Drosophila melanogaster: one gene and its partners. The protein of the gene in region 3 interacts with the protein of the main gene of each other region in a pairwise test. Each region holds a gene or a part of one and is shown on either strand. Other genes may lie near its edges.

Region 1 (2,915 bases), 3.9 Mb from region 3:
GCCGCGAGCTGGCCACATAGACCTCGAAGGGTCAGGGGGGTATCAGGGCTAAGGGGGTGCGAACTGCGTAAACAAAGCTCAAGGATTGCGTCCTGGAACGTGGCGAAGTGTCGATGAACCAAAGTGGGCGCACAAACAGGCCAGAGTTGGGCACACCCTTGGAGGGCACTCTGTCATATGGGAGCTGTCTAATGAAAATGGTGGCCTGATTTAACCTTAAACGAATTCATTCTTCTCATCATATAATAGTTTAAAGTGCTCTGGTGACCATTGCAAATGTTAAAAATTAAAGCTTGCAGCACTCGTTAATAATTCAAATGAAATCCCTTATCTTGAACTTATAATTCTATGTAATACCACAAACTAAAGCTATATATATATACTTCCCATCCAGGTATCTATTGCAATAAGACGGCGCTTCCCAAGAGCAACCTGCACTATCTGTTTCCTTTGAAGAAAAGTCCCGATGCCCACGGCAAGATTAAAATTAAACGGAAGGAATAAAACTCGATTCACTTCTCAGTCGGTCAGTGCGTGGGCCTGATGCATTGCGTTTTAATTTCTGTTTGCCTGCGAGCATGTATCTCCATCTCTGTTTGTATCTGTATCTTTCGCCGTGGCAGTGACGACGTCCGGTGGACACGTGCGGCAGCCTTGCGGAATCCCTTTGCCATCCTGGGACATCTTACTTCTTGAGGATGGTGGCCACAGGGGCGGCGGCATAAACGGCTGGCAGGGCGGCGCTGTGGGCCACACTGTGGGCACTGTAGCTACTGGCATAGGGGGCCACGTAGGGGGCGTAGGCAGGGGTGTAGGCGGCGGTGTAGGCGAGGGGTGCGGCAGCGGGCAGGGAGCTGTACGCCAGTGGAGTGGAGTAGGCCAGAGGGGCATTGTAGGCCAGCAGACCAGGATTGGCAGCAGCGGCGGCGAACAGGGCGCACAGGACAACGGCAAACTGCAGGATAAAATGCATACAAAAAGTACATTAAAATACACATTTACAAGAAGTTTTATAAATATAAAAAATTGTTTGAAAAATCTACACTGTTTGATAATAGTTTTATTTCGAACACACGCGTTTTTGTTTGTATTTAGGATTGTGAATTGTTGCATTTTTGAAACATTGTATCCTTAAAAAAATGTTGGAAACTTACGAATTTCATCATTTTAATTGATTTGGTTGTGTTAGCGTCGAAGTTAGACTTCTGATTGATGTCTTGTGCTGAGTTCGAAGTGGTTTATATAGGTAAATATACATAGCATCCTTGACAAAGCCCATTGAAAAAGCAAAAACCCAGCAAGTTTAAAGCATTTCCATCACGTACCAGGGCTAAAACAGGGCCAAACATTTGGTCTCTTTTTACTGGCACAATTATAATGTTGCAGATTTGTGTTTGTCGATATGCCTGCGAATAGTACGCATTCCTTGTGAATTTATTATTGAAAATGAATGTTTTTTCCCGCTCATCTTGAGCATTTCCGCAACTGGCGTCAGCAGCTGTCGTTTGCCGATTGAATTATCATAATTTAGCACTCAGTGCGTTTTGTGGGCTGTGAACGTGCGTGTCATTCCAACCGTCTTGGCCATCTCCGGAGTTCGGCTCACTCTGTACGTTTCAATTGTCAGCCACTCGAACACGCCACTTTGCATTCTAATCAGAGATGCAAGTAAAAATAGAAGCGGTTTATCCAGTTTCGAAGGACGTCATCGAGTTGAGCCCTTGGCTTAAGGTTGAGGACACCAGAAACAGGGAATCGAAAGCTTTGCATAAATGGAATCGCGAGTTCAATAAACCGGAGGTCTCGTTGACCCTATTAATCCAATGCAAACATGGACATTCCACCACGAAGAACACAACCTCCTTTACACTTCCTTTTTTTTTAACAAATAATAGGTTTTAAGTCCAAAAAATAATTTCCAATGTATCAAAGCAATTTATTGATACAAAGCTTAAAAAAGTCATTGATTCCTTCCAGCCCACCAAAATTAAAAAATGTAGGGGCTAGCAATTTATGAAACTAGTGTGAGAAATATTTACTGAAAATATGATATCACCTACTTTATAAATAATATTTCCATTGGATTTTAATGTATACCAAATTTAGTACTTAGTACCCATTGCAAAAGAGTACTGCCTAAAAGTATGTGATTATACATACTCCCTTCACATTAGAGATGAATAAGTGATGCAATAAATTATGAACAAGTGGTATACGTTTTACGCAAAATGCAGTATTTATTTCAACAAAAATATTCCCTTTCTTGAAGTGGTATGTCCTGTTCCCATGACTTAACTTTCAGCAGTCGGCAGAGGTGGGGAAATGTAGAGTCTGTCGAACTAACACCAGGGATGTAAGAAGATTGGATGTTGCAGGTGGTTAGCAGGAAGGTGTGTATCCTTGTTGCAATAGATGTGTATATGTTTATATTCAGGTCCAGTTCAGCAGTCAGGTTAAGATCACGATCCATTCATCCAGTCTTAACGGTAGTAGGCGGCATAGGGGTAGGCGGAGTAGGCGGACGCATAGGGGTACGTGTAGGCGGAGTAGGCGGCGGCCACTGGAGCGGTGTATGCCGCGGTGTAGGCAGCCGAGTAAGGAGCAGCTGCCACATAGGGAGCGGAGTAGGCGCTGTAGGCCAGAGGAGAAGCGAGCACCGCCGGCTTGGCAGAGACGCAGGCCACGATGGCGAACAGGCACAGAGCGAACTGAAAGGATAGGAAAAGTGCTTATGAGTAATCCGTTGTTTGGTGGCAAGTCCAGCTATCCTGCGATCCTTACGTATTTGAACATGTTGGCTGTTTGGGTTGGTTGTGAACTGTTGGTTCTCAAGTACTAGACTGATATCTCCTAGTGCCCGAGTACTCGGGTATATATAGCAGAATCGGTCGAGAAAATTCCATTCCAATTCCCCA
Region 2 (4,990 bases), on a different chromosome or scaffold from region 3:
CTGCAATTTTGCCTGCCCTTTGGCAACACCTTTTTTAAGGGGGTGTTGCAAGGGTTGGGTGGCAGGGGGCACCCTTTTGTTTGCGCCGATTTTTTGGCACTTTTTTTTCGGGGGATAGCACGGGTAGCAATTGTTGTCTCGTGGAGAGCGGCGGGCATTAAATAAATAAGAAAAAATATATTCGCAAGGAGGCGGGCTGCATTCCGTGCAATTTTCACTTTACAACTGTTTCAAAGTTATCTTTGTTTCAATTGTGTGCACGACGGCGGCAAAAAGCGAGCAGCAAAAAATATTGGCAAACAATTTACTTTTTGGCCAAAATGCGAAATAAAAGTAAAATGTGGCAAATAATTTGCCCAAAGCTGCGGCAGGTTGAACACGGAATAAAGGGAATCTGCAGCAGGATATCAAAGAGGACTTTCCCCTCATTGATTTATTGTCCTTTTGTGCTGGTTGCAAATGGGGAGCTTCCTTTTTTTTTTTTGCTCTGTAGCCTGGCTCAATTGCAATTTAAAGACACAGTCTGTTTATTTTGGGCAAAGTCGGGCCGAAGTCTCCAACTCCACTTGAGATAGGCATCGGCAAAATTAATCATCTTTGCATGCCAGTTGCCAGATAGTTTGTGGGGCCAAGTTTGTTTAATTTCGATTACCAGCTGACGGGGCAGAGTCCTGTGCCCGGTGAAAGATGCAGGATGAGCCGGCCAGGAGTTATAAATGGCAGCACCGACAGCACCAGCATATAAAACTGACATCCACTGACAGCAGCCAAAATGATTAATTAGACAGGAGGCAATCTTGTTGCTGGTGGAACACACACACTAGGTAGGTATTCCCAATCGAAGATGCAAATGTCAGATAAATGTTTAATTTCTGCTCAGGGCTTCGATGGGCGAAAATGGGAATGGAAATTGGCGCTGATTTATACATAGAGTATATTTAGAGTATATTTAGCTAAGGGGCGTAGTCGAAGGTGATAACAGGCGACAGGTTTTCGCCAGGGCGAAATCTTTGATTTACGGCATTTTGGAGCCGTTTCGAAATGCGACACAACACACGCCGAGCAGCCGGAAAATTAGTACAACTTGACTAGCTGGCTGGCTGACTAGCTGGCTGGCTGGCTGGCGTTTTCCCCCGGCTTTTCCAAAAGCCCAGCGAACAGCATTTCGTATGTAGCCGGCGATTAATATCCATCGCAGTCGCAGCTGCCCAGCGCCATCAAGCAGCTCGGTTTGCCCAGGGAAGAGACGGAAAACAAGCGGAAAGTATATGGATCGAAGATATGTGGGCCAACCTGTGCGCAGCCATCTCTGATCGATTAGCCAAACTATCGTGTTCGAGGGCTTTTAGTTCCGCCCACAGAGAACGGAGCTGCTTAAATAGCCATAAATTATAATTTATGGCAGCGGTGTTGCCACCGTTTCAACCGTTTCCACCGAACATGTGCAATTAATCCGTCTCTTTAGCTGGCTTATCAATTGTCAGAGTCGGAGGAGTGGAGCACCGAACGAATCGTGGGCGTTTCCCCAGCATTGCGCCATCCCCAATGCTCCCCAACTAAGCGTTTTCAATTAATTTCGGCTCTTTCTCACACCTTCCATTTCAACCGATGAGCTCTGCCCACTGACAGTTTTATGCTTTGTTTACACTCGATAAACAGAGTGGCAAGCGACCAGCAATATGGCCATAAAACAGGTTCTTAAATGGAGGTGCGGCATCGCGGTAATGGTGTTGGCCAAGTTAGCTACCTGTCGTCTGCTGTTTCAGCCTGCGCATGCGGTTTTCCTGGTCAGGGGTAGCTCTACCTGGTTCTCGGTGGGTGGAGATTACTGGCAAGGCGGCGGTGCTGTTTCGGCGGTGCCAACAAATCAAATTGAGATGTGGCTGCAATTGGTCGGCCACTGGGAGGAACAGAGAGGTGGCTATGCTATGCAATGCAGGGAATAATGCCATTATTCAAGATCGACTGGCCGACTTTCATGTGTGAAGAGCGTGATATGACCAATAGATATAAGAAATCGAATGATCTGCCATGTTAAACCGTACTAATTTTAACTATATTGTAGTTTTAGCTCATGGAAAAGGACTTTCGTAGCTGAAAACCAGCGAATGATTATAGTTGAACAACAATAAGTTCTTTAAGTTCTCAAAGCGTATAGAAGTTGCACAAAGTGACCCAGTTTTCTCTCAGTGTGCTGATCGGGCAAACTTTTTCGGTTTCGGGCTCGCTCTCTCCTTTTTGAGAACCGGAGCCCGTTCTCTGCGTAGGAGTAGGTAATGGTAATTCGAGACCTGCCTCGATCCTTACTCGCCGTTTATGAGTTTGTTTTTCTATAGCTACTCATTCTTATGATCCCCTGAAGGTGGAGACCACACATATACCCAAGATGGCGGATGGTTTCTGGGAAACTGCTAAGCTTGCATGTGGGGATCTTCAAATCGAAGCTACCGAGTCTTGGCGCGCGAATCACTTGAACACAAAGTTCTATGGCACGGCTGATTGGTGATAATGGAGGCGGTTTGCGGATGAATCACCCGAGATCTGTGCTCCAGATCCGCGTTCTGATCACTTACACTGCATGGCGAAGGGGGAGGTGGAGGGCATGCTCTGCTGAATGATGGTATCCTCTTGGCCGAAACGTGAAGACGACGGCGCCAGACAGGACAACATTTGGAATGCTTGTTGCAACACTTGCTCTACTTTGATGCGGATAGTTTGTTTGGCTAGTTGGCTAGTTGGCTAGTGGGTTCTTCTGGGCTCGGCGTTATTTCTTTCTTATAGAGCACACACGTGTTGTGGCGGCCATTTGGGCAAGGGCCTTGGGTTTTTTATCTTTCGAACATGGGAAACACTGGGATTTTTCTTCGCGATGCGCCGCTGCGAGTGTCGCGTTTGTTTTTATTTTGTGGGCGATTTCACTGATCTGCGTTCTATATCTGCGTGATTCTACTGTGTGCTGCTCAGAGTTTTCTCTGTGGGTGAGCGACGCGTGTGCTGCCGTCGCGACGTCTACGATGCAACTGAATTCAGAGTTCTAAGTTTCGAAGCATCAAGCCAAATCCGAGAACGAAACAGAGACCGACGTCCTCTACCGAATCCGTCGGATGCGAACTGTGAGTTTCGGGCGAGGGCGATACGGCGGGGTTCTACGTTTCCACGGAGAGCGAGTGAGAGAGGGCGGCGCTGTTTGTGTGTGTGCTCCGTGCCACCACCAGCATAATATAACGGTGTAACGGTTCACCGTTCCGATGTACGAGGTGATTCGGGCGGGGGTAGTGTGGTTGGTGCTCTAATGCTCTGATGGGTGGTGTGTTGGTGGTGGTGCCAGAGAAGCGAGAGCGCTTCATTCTTAACATAACAGCTCTCTGTTATCGCATATCGTAAATGTTAAGCGCTGTTAGTGCCGCTCCTCTCGGTTATCCCGTGACGTAAGCACTACGTAAGGGTGGCCTCTTTTGTTCATCGTGCTGCTCGTAAACATATGGCCGTTATGCGGGATTTGACTATATTAACATTTGCACAAAATTTCGTTTTTATTGATAAAGCGACTTATGAGTCTTTCCATTAACTTTTCCGCCAACCGTCAAATTTATTTCGGTGTTATTTTATTAATACTCTGTGCTGCTGGGTATCAATATTAAAGTGTAGAGCTTAAGTGATTTACATATTTAATTGTTATAATTAGGAAATATTTTTAATAAACAGTTTAATACTCAACAATAAATAGGAATTATCTGAAATTCCCAGAATTGAACAGCAATAAGATAGTTTAATTATATACTTGTATTATAATTTTTTAAGTCTTTCCGGTAAATCAAGTTTATGACAAAATATTCCCCGTGTGGGAATTACACACATATGTATGCATATCGCTATGATTAATTCCCCACTCAAGAAAGCTTTCGATCGTTTTTCTTTCGGGTAAATTTGGCGGTGCGAGATAAAGGGGATTTCTTTTTTCCAGGGAATCCCTTAACCCTTTCCTGGCCACATCGCTGCGTTAACGGACAAAATCATTTGCACTTGCGATTGCAAAATTTCCTCTGCTGCGATTTCCGAGTAAGAAATACCGAAATCGTTCCGCGATTGCCACACATTAATGACATCGTTTGCTGATGGGCGAGTTCTTGAGAATGTCCATCAATGGACACGTCTACAAAATGACAGAAGAACAGAGATCCAAGAGATCCCGGACAACCGAAGAATTCTAACGAAGAGAGCAGAATGCGAGTGGCTTGATTCTTTGGCTCCATCAACAAGTTTTGGCGGCCCCTTGGGATGTTGCTTTTTTTGTACTTTATATTTTGCTGCTCAAAGAAACATATAGATTTGAAAACTAAAAGTATAAATGGATAAAAAGATATTTATGGTAACAGAAATTGTGTTATCGAAAAAAAAAGCGAAACATGCTCTCTTTGATAAAAAGCAAAAACAAAAGGCGGACTCGACAACATAATAAACAATTTGTACATTAATTTTTAATGCGGTTAACATGTGTTCCCCCTTCTCCCTCACACACCCATACACTCACAAACGCGGTCGCTACGTGTGTGTAAGTGTAAAATAGGTGGAGCTTCATAATTTTCTCACTTGAAACGTACTGCCATGAGCGGGAAAGAGAGCGCCGGCGGTGCAAGCGAGAGAGAGGGAGAGAGAGATAGCCGCCGGAGAGGCCGCTTTTTTTTTGTTGCCTCGCATTCATTTTGTATGTTAATTAGTTGCCGTTCACTCGCGTGCGCGTGTGTTGAGTATCTGTGTGAGGTGGCGTGGGTGTTTAATGAGAAGCGAGCAAGGTGCGCACATTGGTCGTCCATCGGTTGCACCTGTTGCGCTCGTTCGATTGGCGGAAAAGCCCCAGGGAAAATTGGAGGCTGATGAAGTGGGAAAATGACTCAATAAGATATATGCGAGAATGAATCAGAATAGATATTTATGTCTGGACTTGAAAATAATTCATCTCTTGCAATGAGCTCGTACCTCCCCGAGTTTT
Region 3 (4,308 bases):
GTCTCTTTTATTTTTGATCTGTCCTTTAGCTTGGTTCAACAGCGACTGACTGCCGCGCTCTCTGCAGAGTGGCGAGTCGATTAGTCGATAAGTTTCTCGATAATATTTGTATGTTAAGGATGGGTGTATGAGTGTATAAGCTTATGACTAGATTGGCTATGTATAATTAGGTATGTATGACTAAGAGTAAAGGAAGAGGGTAGAAGGAGCAGCCTACTACAATACTAGGCTTTGAAGTACTGAATTCAAAACAATATCTCAATGCTGACGTCAATCAAGTAACTTCTCCAGAAATTTCCCAAGCAATGGGGTTTTACTGTTCCACCTTCTTCTAATACAATAGATGGAGGCCATTGAATTTTTTTAATTAATTATTTAATTAACTTAGCTTGGCAGATAACATTTACAAATACCCATCCCGCAGAAATTATATTTATATTTTGAGGCACATTTTCTGTGAGCCTCTTTTTGAAAGATTTGCTACCAAAAAGGCGAACAACTAATCAACAATTTCAAAAACAACAACATTTAAAACAAATTTCGCTTGGTCGAAGTCAACATTTTTATTAGTTTCTTTTGAATGCCTTCAGCATTGGTATTTATTTATATATTTCATAAAAGGTATCTCGGCAAACAGACGTGGCTGGAGGAGATGCTCATGTACTAGCCGTCGAATTACAAATGGCGTAATCGGGAATTTTGGTGGTGCAGATATTGTTCACCTCGTCGTAGTACGGCGCATTGGTGGGACATGATCCGGTTATTCCGCTGGAGCAGATTGTGTAGTTCTTGCAACCCTCATCTGCCATGAATGGATTGTTAACGTTCCCACATCGGTTATGGGTACAGACAAAGGAGGCTGGCGAAACGCACTTGCCAGCATTGAATTGGGTACCGGTGGGACATTGGTTCCAATAGCCAGTGGCGTTTACTGCTGCACAGTAGTAGTACCCATAGCAGGTGACACCATCAGAAACGTACCTATAGTCAACAGATTCCCCATTTACAGTAAGTGGATCTGCTGCTTTAAAAGCTTCTTCGTCACAAGCAGTTGCATTTGTTTGCCCAACAGTGAACTGGTCAGAGTTTCCACTGTTTGAATCTTCGCCGGTGCACGGATTCGTCGACTGGCAGTTGCCAGTGGCTTTATTATAGTAGGGATTGGCGGTGCTGGAACATTTTTCGGAAGTGCCATAGCCGTTGACGCAGTTGATGTAGTTGCCGCACTGGTTCGGATCGCCTACAAAGATGTTGGACAACATGAACCGACAGATGGTGTCCTGCGGGCAGGCGGGTCCCCATATACATTTTGTGGAGGATGCCGAATAGACGCCGCCGGTGCCGCAATCGCCATAGGAGATTTGGCCTGTGCCATCGCAGTAGGCGTATTCGGTGCAGTTCAACGGATTGGCCACATACATGGGAGATTTGACGTTGGAGCATGTCTCAACGGCACTGGTGGAGCACACCGTGGTATTAGCGTAATCACAGCTGCCGGCCTGCGCGTTGAACACCAAGCCGTTGGGACAGGTGCCCCAGGCCACAACCTCCTGGTTCTTGCAGTATCCCCAGGCATGGCAGTTGCTCGGATTGCCGATGTATCCATAGCCCGACCACTGTTGGCACAGATCATCCATCGTGTAGCCGGTGGCCTGCGATGCCATTAGGAGACATGCGGCCACGACACAGATCCTCATATTGATTGCTAAATGGGGGATACAGGGGGATACGAACTATGAATTATTAAATAAAATATAGACATGTGTAATCGTCGAATAGTTTTCTATTTTGTTTGTACTTAATAATGCAAAGAAATTATGCTAGAAACGACAAAATTGATAGCTTTCAATCCAAAATTCGTGTTAGCGTCTCTAAAATTGGTTAAGCCTTTGTTGTAGCCAACACGGCAGCCCTTTTTTTGGATAAAAAATCAATTAAGGACGAAAGAAAAACTCAATTTGAGTAACAAATCGAAATTTGAAAGTCATTTTAGCCATTTTTGAAAGTCATCTCCTTTGCAGGAGAATTTCAGGGCCTTAAAACCATGTTTGAAACCACTTTTCAAAATTTAGTCGAAGCAAGACGTCTTGAATACTGTGCACCTGAGATAACTGTATCCGTTCTTCGAGCCAACGTACCTCCCATCTTGGAATGCTAATATTTTTCGGGGACAAATTCACTTGATAGACAGACGACCGAAGCGAACGTTCCGATTTCGTTACTAACTCAATCAATTGCAGCCTTTGCGTTTTTATAGTTGACAATTCGCGGCGCGAACTGGGTGGGTAATTAAAAAATTGTCAGCCAGATAAGCCAGCCGCCAGTAGGGCGTTAGTATCGAAATTAATGCTAGATAAGATTCTAAGGTCTGGGGTAAACCACGCACCTTGCATCCCTCCGAAGTTGTTGGGTTAGCTTGAAGGCGGTTCGAAGGCGTTGGACGACGAAAGTGAAACTAGCGGACCCGGCCAAAATGGACTGGCTTATAAGCTCAAATCGATTCTTGGCCAGCGGACACCATACATACTTAGTTTAGTATGTATATATAGTTTATATATATTTTTATACGTTGACAGCCGCGCCGGAATTTGGATTATCAGCTGCTGATTGCGAACCCTCTTTGTCTATAATTGTTTTTTAATTTCGAAGAAGCTCGAGGAGGCGGGAAAGTGTCACGGCTCTTATTGATCACTCAGTGGTGTTTCCCTGGTATCTCGGCACTCATTTCAGCAACACGACATTAGTTAGATATCTCAATTTGAATCGCACTGCGACTCTTGACTTGACTTGACTAGACTTTCCTCTGAAGGTTATCAGGTTCTGGGGAAAAATTACCGAACTACAAATGTTTATATTAATAACTTGTCCAAAAGAACCGTTTGAACTGAAATACAAAATAAATAAATCGCACTATGAAATTATGAAATTATGAGTTATATATATTTATTTATTTGTATGCATAATTAAATAGTACAATTATATGCAAGTATTTTGAAATTTTATTATCTATCTATATAATCTATAAAAATAATTGATGTTAATGTTTAATAACAAAAACCCCATTTTTTTAGTCAGTTTTATTTTCCGTTAAACTATTTTAAATCTATCCGCCTTATTTTATTGTTTCGCCTAAAAGCGAGTTTTGTCCGTTTAGAAATTCGCCCATAAGTATGCAATGACATTTAAACACTTTACTCGATACTTTTTCCAAATCACAAGGCATTTTCGAAGTAATTTAAATTCTTAAAAAATAGTTCAAGCTACGTGCTTATTTACTTTTTATATTTAATTGGTAGAGTACTAAAAATGTTTTTTTTTTTATAATAAAGAAGGGAAGCTCTCTATTAACCCACTAAGCCTTATGAATTAAACCAGCTGATCTTGCTCTTCATTTTATTACTATTTTTTGGCCGAAATGATAACTTATCTACTTCCTATTTAATTTACCGGTAGCCAATTGGCAATCTCCAACTTGTTTATAAAATCACCATTCACTACGACTAGAAATCACCCAGTACTTTAGCAACGAAAAATATAATTAATTTTTTCTGAAGTAAAATTTTATGAATGCTCCTTAAAAACATTAAATTTATAAATACAATTTTATCAAACATTCCCATTTTTTGTGCTCTATCATTTACCTTTTCAAAAATATTATATAGCAAATCCCTAAGCAAAATCAATACATTTGATTGTAATCTTCGAGCTTTTAACAAATGACTTCTATTCATCTTTATTTAACCCATCTTACCCAGTTGAATACCCCTCAAAAACCAATCCGCTTATCTTGCCAGCAAATAGTGATTGCTGCTTATCCTCTGATATTTATAAGTAATCGCAGGTCGACGTTCAGATTCAGTACGAGTTTATGCTTTGTCCAAAGTTGAGCTGTAATGGAAAGTGAGTGGATTGCAAACTGCCAGTGGTGTAAATCTAACTTTATTGTTTTTTCAAATTGCAGAATTTGGTGCCATACTGGGCGTGGCACTGGTGCTACTGCTTCAAGGCCTAGATGTGGTTAATGGCCGGAATGAGGACATCTGCCGCTTGTTCTCCAATAATACGGTGATCCGAGATCCCGAATCCTGCAGTCAATCGATCACGTGCATCGATTCCGTCAGCTACTACAGTACATGCACGGGATCTACTCCGTTTTTCGACAAGGACACGGGCAAATGCGTTAAGTCACTGTCCACTTCCACGTCCAGCTGCTCGATATCCTGCGCGGATCGGGCCAAGCAATTCGTGGCCGACCCCAAGTCCTGCTACGGCTACTATTACTGTGCGGACGAGGAGACGGCCTTGTAC
Region 4 (4,744 bases), on a different chromosome or scaffold from region 3:
CTCTCTCTCCCTCGCTCTCTTTCTCTCTCGCACGACCACGTTGCCTCTCTTTCTTTTATTTCCAAATGCCAGACTGCGTGGCCCGACGGATATGTACATACTTACATACATATATGTATATACATATATATGATCTGTGATTCCGTTTCGTTTCGATCCGCTCCGATTTCGCTGCGATGGCCGTGTGAGCGTTGGCATTTCAATTGTCTAATTGCCGCGTGGGTTTCTCCATAGGCAGAGCTCACTGTGTGGGGGCGTGAGAAAAGCCCCAAAAGACCCGTTTGCCTGCCACTGATCGTGGCTTTCCAATTGCTGGTGTCTTTATTTTCTTTAAATAGAAATCAATGCGTGTATATAGAATATAATCGATGCGTAACAAAATATATTTATATATTTTTTTGAGAATTAAATATCAACACGTTTTTTCTATCTGTGTATGGCCTTTTGTAGGAGATCCCTTTCGGGACCGAGTTAATTGTAAGTCCCTCAATTGCCTAGCAGTAATTTGCAAGTCCATTACAAGCTCTACTTTTCGACTGCTGCCGAAATCAAGCCGAATTATTTTGCCGAATTTCGGGACATTTCTCCGAGAACAATAACCCACATAGCACGACCCCAAAATCTCTTGAAATCCTGCAAAACTGCGCAGCAAGGACTCTCCCACTGGCACACACGCACACACTCATGCACACAGGACGTGGTGTAAATGCTAATTTACGCATTTCAATAGTACAAGTTTTTGGCGAAAATTTTAATTAGACTGCCTTTTTTTTGGGGAAGGGAAAGGCATTGTTAGGCGGCCGACAAGTGAGTAGTTTCTACCAGCTGGAAACCGAATGGTGGCTCGTTTTTTGGGCCATAAATTGGCGTCCTTCATTGAACGGAGAGCGGTTGGAGTTCCGAGTTCGAGTTCGGGTCTGCGAAATAGTTGTTTTCTTGCGCCTTTTTTTGCGCCACCCCAGCCCTGTTGACCATGCCCTCTCCCACTCTTGCGCTCTCTGGCTCTCTTTCACTCACACAAAATGGGCGCCGCACACTGTGGCAATCGGGCACCAATACAACGGCAAGCAGCGCACCAACACTAATGCGTTTCGGTCCGAACTGGAAGTTCGCGGGAAAACTGGAAGGTTACGCGTGTGCGAGAAGAGCACGGCTAGATGGTGCTTGGAAGGCGCTTGCTGCTCTCCTCACTCTAACGGCGAATGGATGTCGCACATGCGCCATGTTGCCGAGGGGAAGGCCCATATGCTGCTGACTCCCTCGCACTCGCTGAGCGGCGAAGAGTGCGGCTAGCGTGCGACAGAGACCGCCCCTGAATATTTACCGTTGCCGGGCAGCGCAGTCGACGCGAGCGTCGCTGTCGGCGCGCTGCTTTTGCCGCCGTTGCCGCCGTTACTGCTGTTGCTGCTGCTGTTGGTGTTGCTGCTGCTGCTGCAAATGTTGCTGCTGCGCTTGCCATGCGATTTGAGGTCCTCGGAAGAGCAAAGCTCCGCTGGCCGTTTACCGTTTGTTAGCTGAATGCCTCCTTGGCCAAATCCAAAGCGAAATGCAAAGCCAAGTCGAAAGCCAACCACCAGCAGCAACATAACGGCAGCAACAGCACGACAGCAACAGCAACAGCAAACAGAAACAGCAACTGCGACGACAAAACTCCTGGTGCACATTAACGCAGGCAACAGTTTAACGTGGAAATTATTGCGAATTTGTTGTGTGTTTTTCTGCGACGCGTGCCAGCGCAAAATCTCAAAACCTCCATTCGCAAATCCCATTTCGCGTAGTCTTTACAACATTGCAAAACTTGCCTTTGCTTTGTTTTTTTTTTTGTTTTCTGGGTTTCTCAATTGGGACTGCATGATGTTTTCAAGCGATTTGTTTTGACAACGGCAATATCTAGACGTAAATCGAAATATTAGCAATCGAAAATGCCGCAGCGTTCGCCATTTGCCATTCAGGAGCTGCTGGGCTTGGCGGTGGCGGCGGCCACAGAAGCGCCAACCGATCTGACGACAACTGCCGGTGCAACGGTGGCAAAAGAGCGCCAAACGCCAACGCCGCCAAAGACAACAAATGCCACAATGGCAACAGCAGCAACATCAGCAGCTACGGCAGCAACACCAACAAATGCGGCCGAAGGCAATTTAACGAGCGTTTCGGAGCCACAGCAGCAGCCGCAGCAGCAGCAACAAGAGCAGCAGCACCACCAGCCGCACCACCATCAGTACAGGGAGCACCACCAAATGACCATGGCGGCCGCCTCGCGAATGGCCTACTTCAATGCCCATGCGGCGGTGGCAGCGGCCTTTATGCCCCACCAACTGGCCGCGGCGGTGCACCATCATCATCAGCATCAGCACCAGCACCATCCACACCACCACCCGCACCACCCACACGGAGCCGTTGGCGGGCCACCGCCGCCGCCGCCGATGCAGCACCACCACCCCCACCATCCGCACCACCCGCTGCTGCACGCGCAGGGTAAGCCAATGTCCCCGCCAGCGAACCACTCAAATTGCAGTTAATTGCAGTTAGTAAAACACAGATATATATATTTTTTTCATTTATGCATATACTGAACATGGGAAAGTTGAAAAGTGCCGTAGCTAACTTACATATATTTCGCTATAGCGATTTTAAAAATCTTTTGTTCGATGTATTTACACTGACAATCAAAGCTTAAACGCAATTAGCAATCGCAACTGGTTTTGTCACCTGCCAGACACACCAACACAGGCGCACATATACACATGCTCAGATACATTTACAGATTCAGATTCAGATACAGATACATTCGATTCACACGCACACGCACACACAGTGGGGCGAATCGGTGTCTGGAGTGCCGCTTAGTTAGCATAAAAAAGGAATTAATCAGCGGTCCATCGTCCGCCAAATCAGCTTTGGCCCCACTGCAAACGACACAACGCCCGCATCCGCACCACCGCTCCACCGATCCGGCAATCCGGCAATCCGCCTCCGAAGCCACTCCAATCCAAAGCACCACCACTCAAGTTGAGCTGCTAATTGCACTGTGTGTGGATGTGTGTGTGTGAGTGTTTGTGTGTGTGTTGCACTCTGGTTTGAGCATAGCAAAAACTGGGCTTCACAATTGTTGCAATAGTTTGGGCACACTAACGACAATAGTTAGTTTTCATATTGTTTAAATAAAATTCTAGAATCAGTGGAAATCCGAATCAATTTATAATAAGCTTGGTATGCTTTTCGAGTAGGTTTTTGGTCGCTTTTGTGCCACTGTAGGTGCGCCTTTGTTTGGCGATCAGCACAGGCAATGAAACACGCACACTGCAAGAAAATCCCACACACTAACAGTGAACTCGAGTCGACCTGCTGTCTCTCTCGATTCAAAGCTCATTTGCAAGTGGCAATATCATACGAAGTTGGAGCGATGACAGTGAAGGCAGATAAACAGAAAGGCATGAAAAGCCGTGCAGGGATTGGATACACGGTAAAAAACTAGGAACTAGTTGCTGGCTGCCAGAAGTAAGCAGTTGATTAACAACATAAGCACTTCAAATTGTTATATTTCTCATTGGATTTGTGAACTATATCTGGAATGGCATTAATAACAAAATCCTGAAGCGTTTAGCCAAATTTCTTTCACTGTGAAAAGTGCGAGGCTCTGCAGATAATCTTGCAGATTCAAGTGGCAGCTGTTATTATTGTTATTATTATTTTAATTAGCGTTGAAATATCATCATCGTCATCACCGATTTCCATTGCTCTGCAACTGATTCACTGTGCCAATTTCACTGCGCACTCACTCAACTTATGTGGATATGTAGATACATATATGAGTAGATTGAATCTGATTTCTTGATTTCAAATCTGTTTACCCCTACACTTCCGGACCCTTTTTTTTGGGGTCTTATTATTATTATTTTTTTTTTTATTGATTTCGCATGTTGTGCGGCTTTCTTTTTGGCTCGATGTTTATGCGTTATTTTAATTACAATACTCCTATCCGTTTATCGCCCATTTCCACAGTTTCGTCGTAATTTGCGTTTAATAAATGTGGGAAAGAGCACTGCTCTTAGCTGCTAAATAGTTATGGGTAGTATGGGCTAGCAGACTGGGATTACAATTTAAACTATGACCAATTAGTTAAGGTTTTATAAATAGTGGTAATGTATGTAGTATGTAATAGTTGTGCTCATTAGTTTTGGTGCAATAAACAGGGCGAGTTGCTCTGCGATGATGAGAGAGAGTGGGTTGCCTCCGCTAAAAGCATATATTCTAGGGTATGTAATAGTCGTGCTCATAAATAGAGATAGAGAAAGTGGTCTGCCTGTGGTAAAAGCTTATAAATTAGGAAAGGCTTATATGTTTTAGGGTATGCAGTAGTCGTGCTTATTAGTTCACTCCCCATTTTCTTCTGTTCTGTTTAGCCGTGCTTTCTGCTTTTCATTCGCGTCATCCTATTTAATTTTGCATATTTTCAACTCGCTTCGTTGTCGTACGAATATTTCGGGTATCCGTTGTTGATTTTATACCCATTTGCGTGGCCAGCTCGTCAATTAAAAAATCGCATCAGGTTTGGTCGAATCGCGAGCGAATTTCTGGCCGGATTTCGGACGGATTTCCTGTCCAGAGCTGAGTACTTGGCGCCCTCCATTAAGTGCCTTTGATCTTTTACCAGAAGGGAAAACCCAAATCGGAAAATTGGTTGCCCAACGACAATAAGAAAAGCGCTTTTTCTTCGCACACCACACCGCCACACATTTAATTG

Evidence for each region.
Region 1: the proteins of CG6933 (region 3) and CG13066 interact in a two-hybrid assay, tested with the Drosophila melanogaster proteins (one large-scale study listed by BioGRID).
Region 2: the proteins of CG6933 (region 3) and zfh1 interact in a two-hybrid assay, tested with the Drosophila melanogaster proteins (one large-scale study listed by BioGRID).
Region 4: the proteins of CG6933 (region 3) and Vsx2 interact in a two-hybrid assay, tested with the Drosophila melanogaster proteins (one large-scale study listed by BioGRID).

Annotation. Positions count from the first base shown.
Region 1 is NT_037436.4:16,271,218-16,274,132, reverse strand, and holds CG13066 (uncharacterized protein), read right to left. Parts: upstream 1,225-2,915; 5' UTR 1,167-1,224; coding exon 1,155-1,166; intron 956-1,154; coding exon 686-955; 3' UTR 525-685; downstream 1-524. Other genes in the region: CG13067 (uncharacterized protein), read right to left, coding at 2,481-2,708, 2,782-2,793.
Region 2 is NT_033777.3:30,763,964-30,768,953, reverse strand, and holds the start of zfh1 (Zn finger homeodomain 1), read right to left. Parts: upstream 3,029-4,990; 5' UTR 2,671-3,028; coding exon 2,574-2,670; intron 1-2,573. UniProt on the Drosophila melanogaster protein: Involved in the development of the embryonic central nervous system, embryonic mesoderm and adult musculature.
Region 3 is NT_037436.4:20,217,959-20,222,266, forward strand, and holds CG6933 (uncharacterized protein), read right to left. Parts: upstream 2,463-4,308; 5' UTR 2,394-2,462; coding exon of another isoform or gene 2,387-2,393; intron 2,278-2,386; 5' UTR 2,146-2,277; coding exon 2,103-2,145; intron 1,706-2,102; coding exon 657-1,705; 3' UTR 544-656; downstream 1-543. Other genes in the region: CG17145 (uncharacterized protein), read left to right, coding at 3,894-3,900, 3,962-4,308.
Region 4 is NC_004354.4:5,557,141-5,561,884, reverse strand, and holds the start of Vsx2 (visual system homeobox 2), read left to right. Parts: upstream 1-1,701; 5' UTR 1,702-1,922; coding exon 1,923-2,475; intron 2,476-4,744.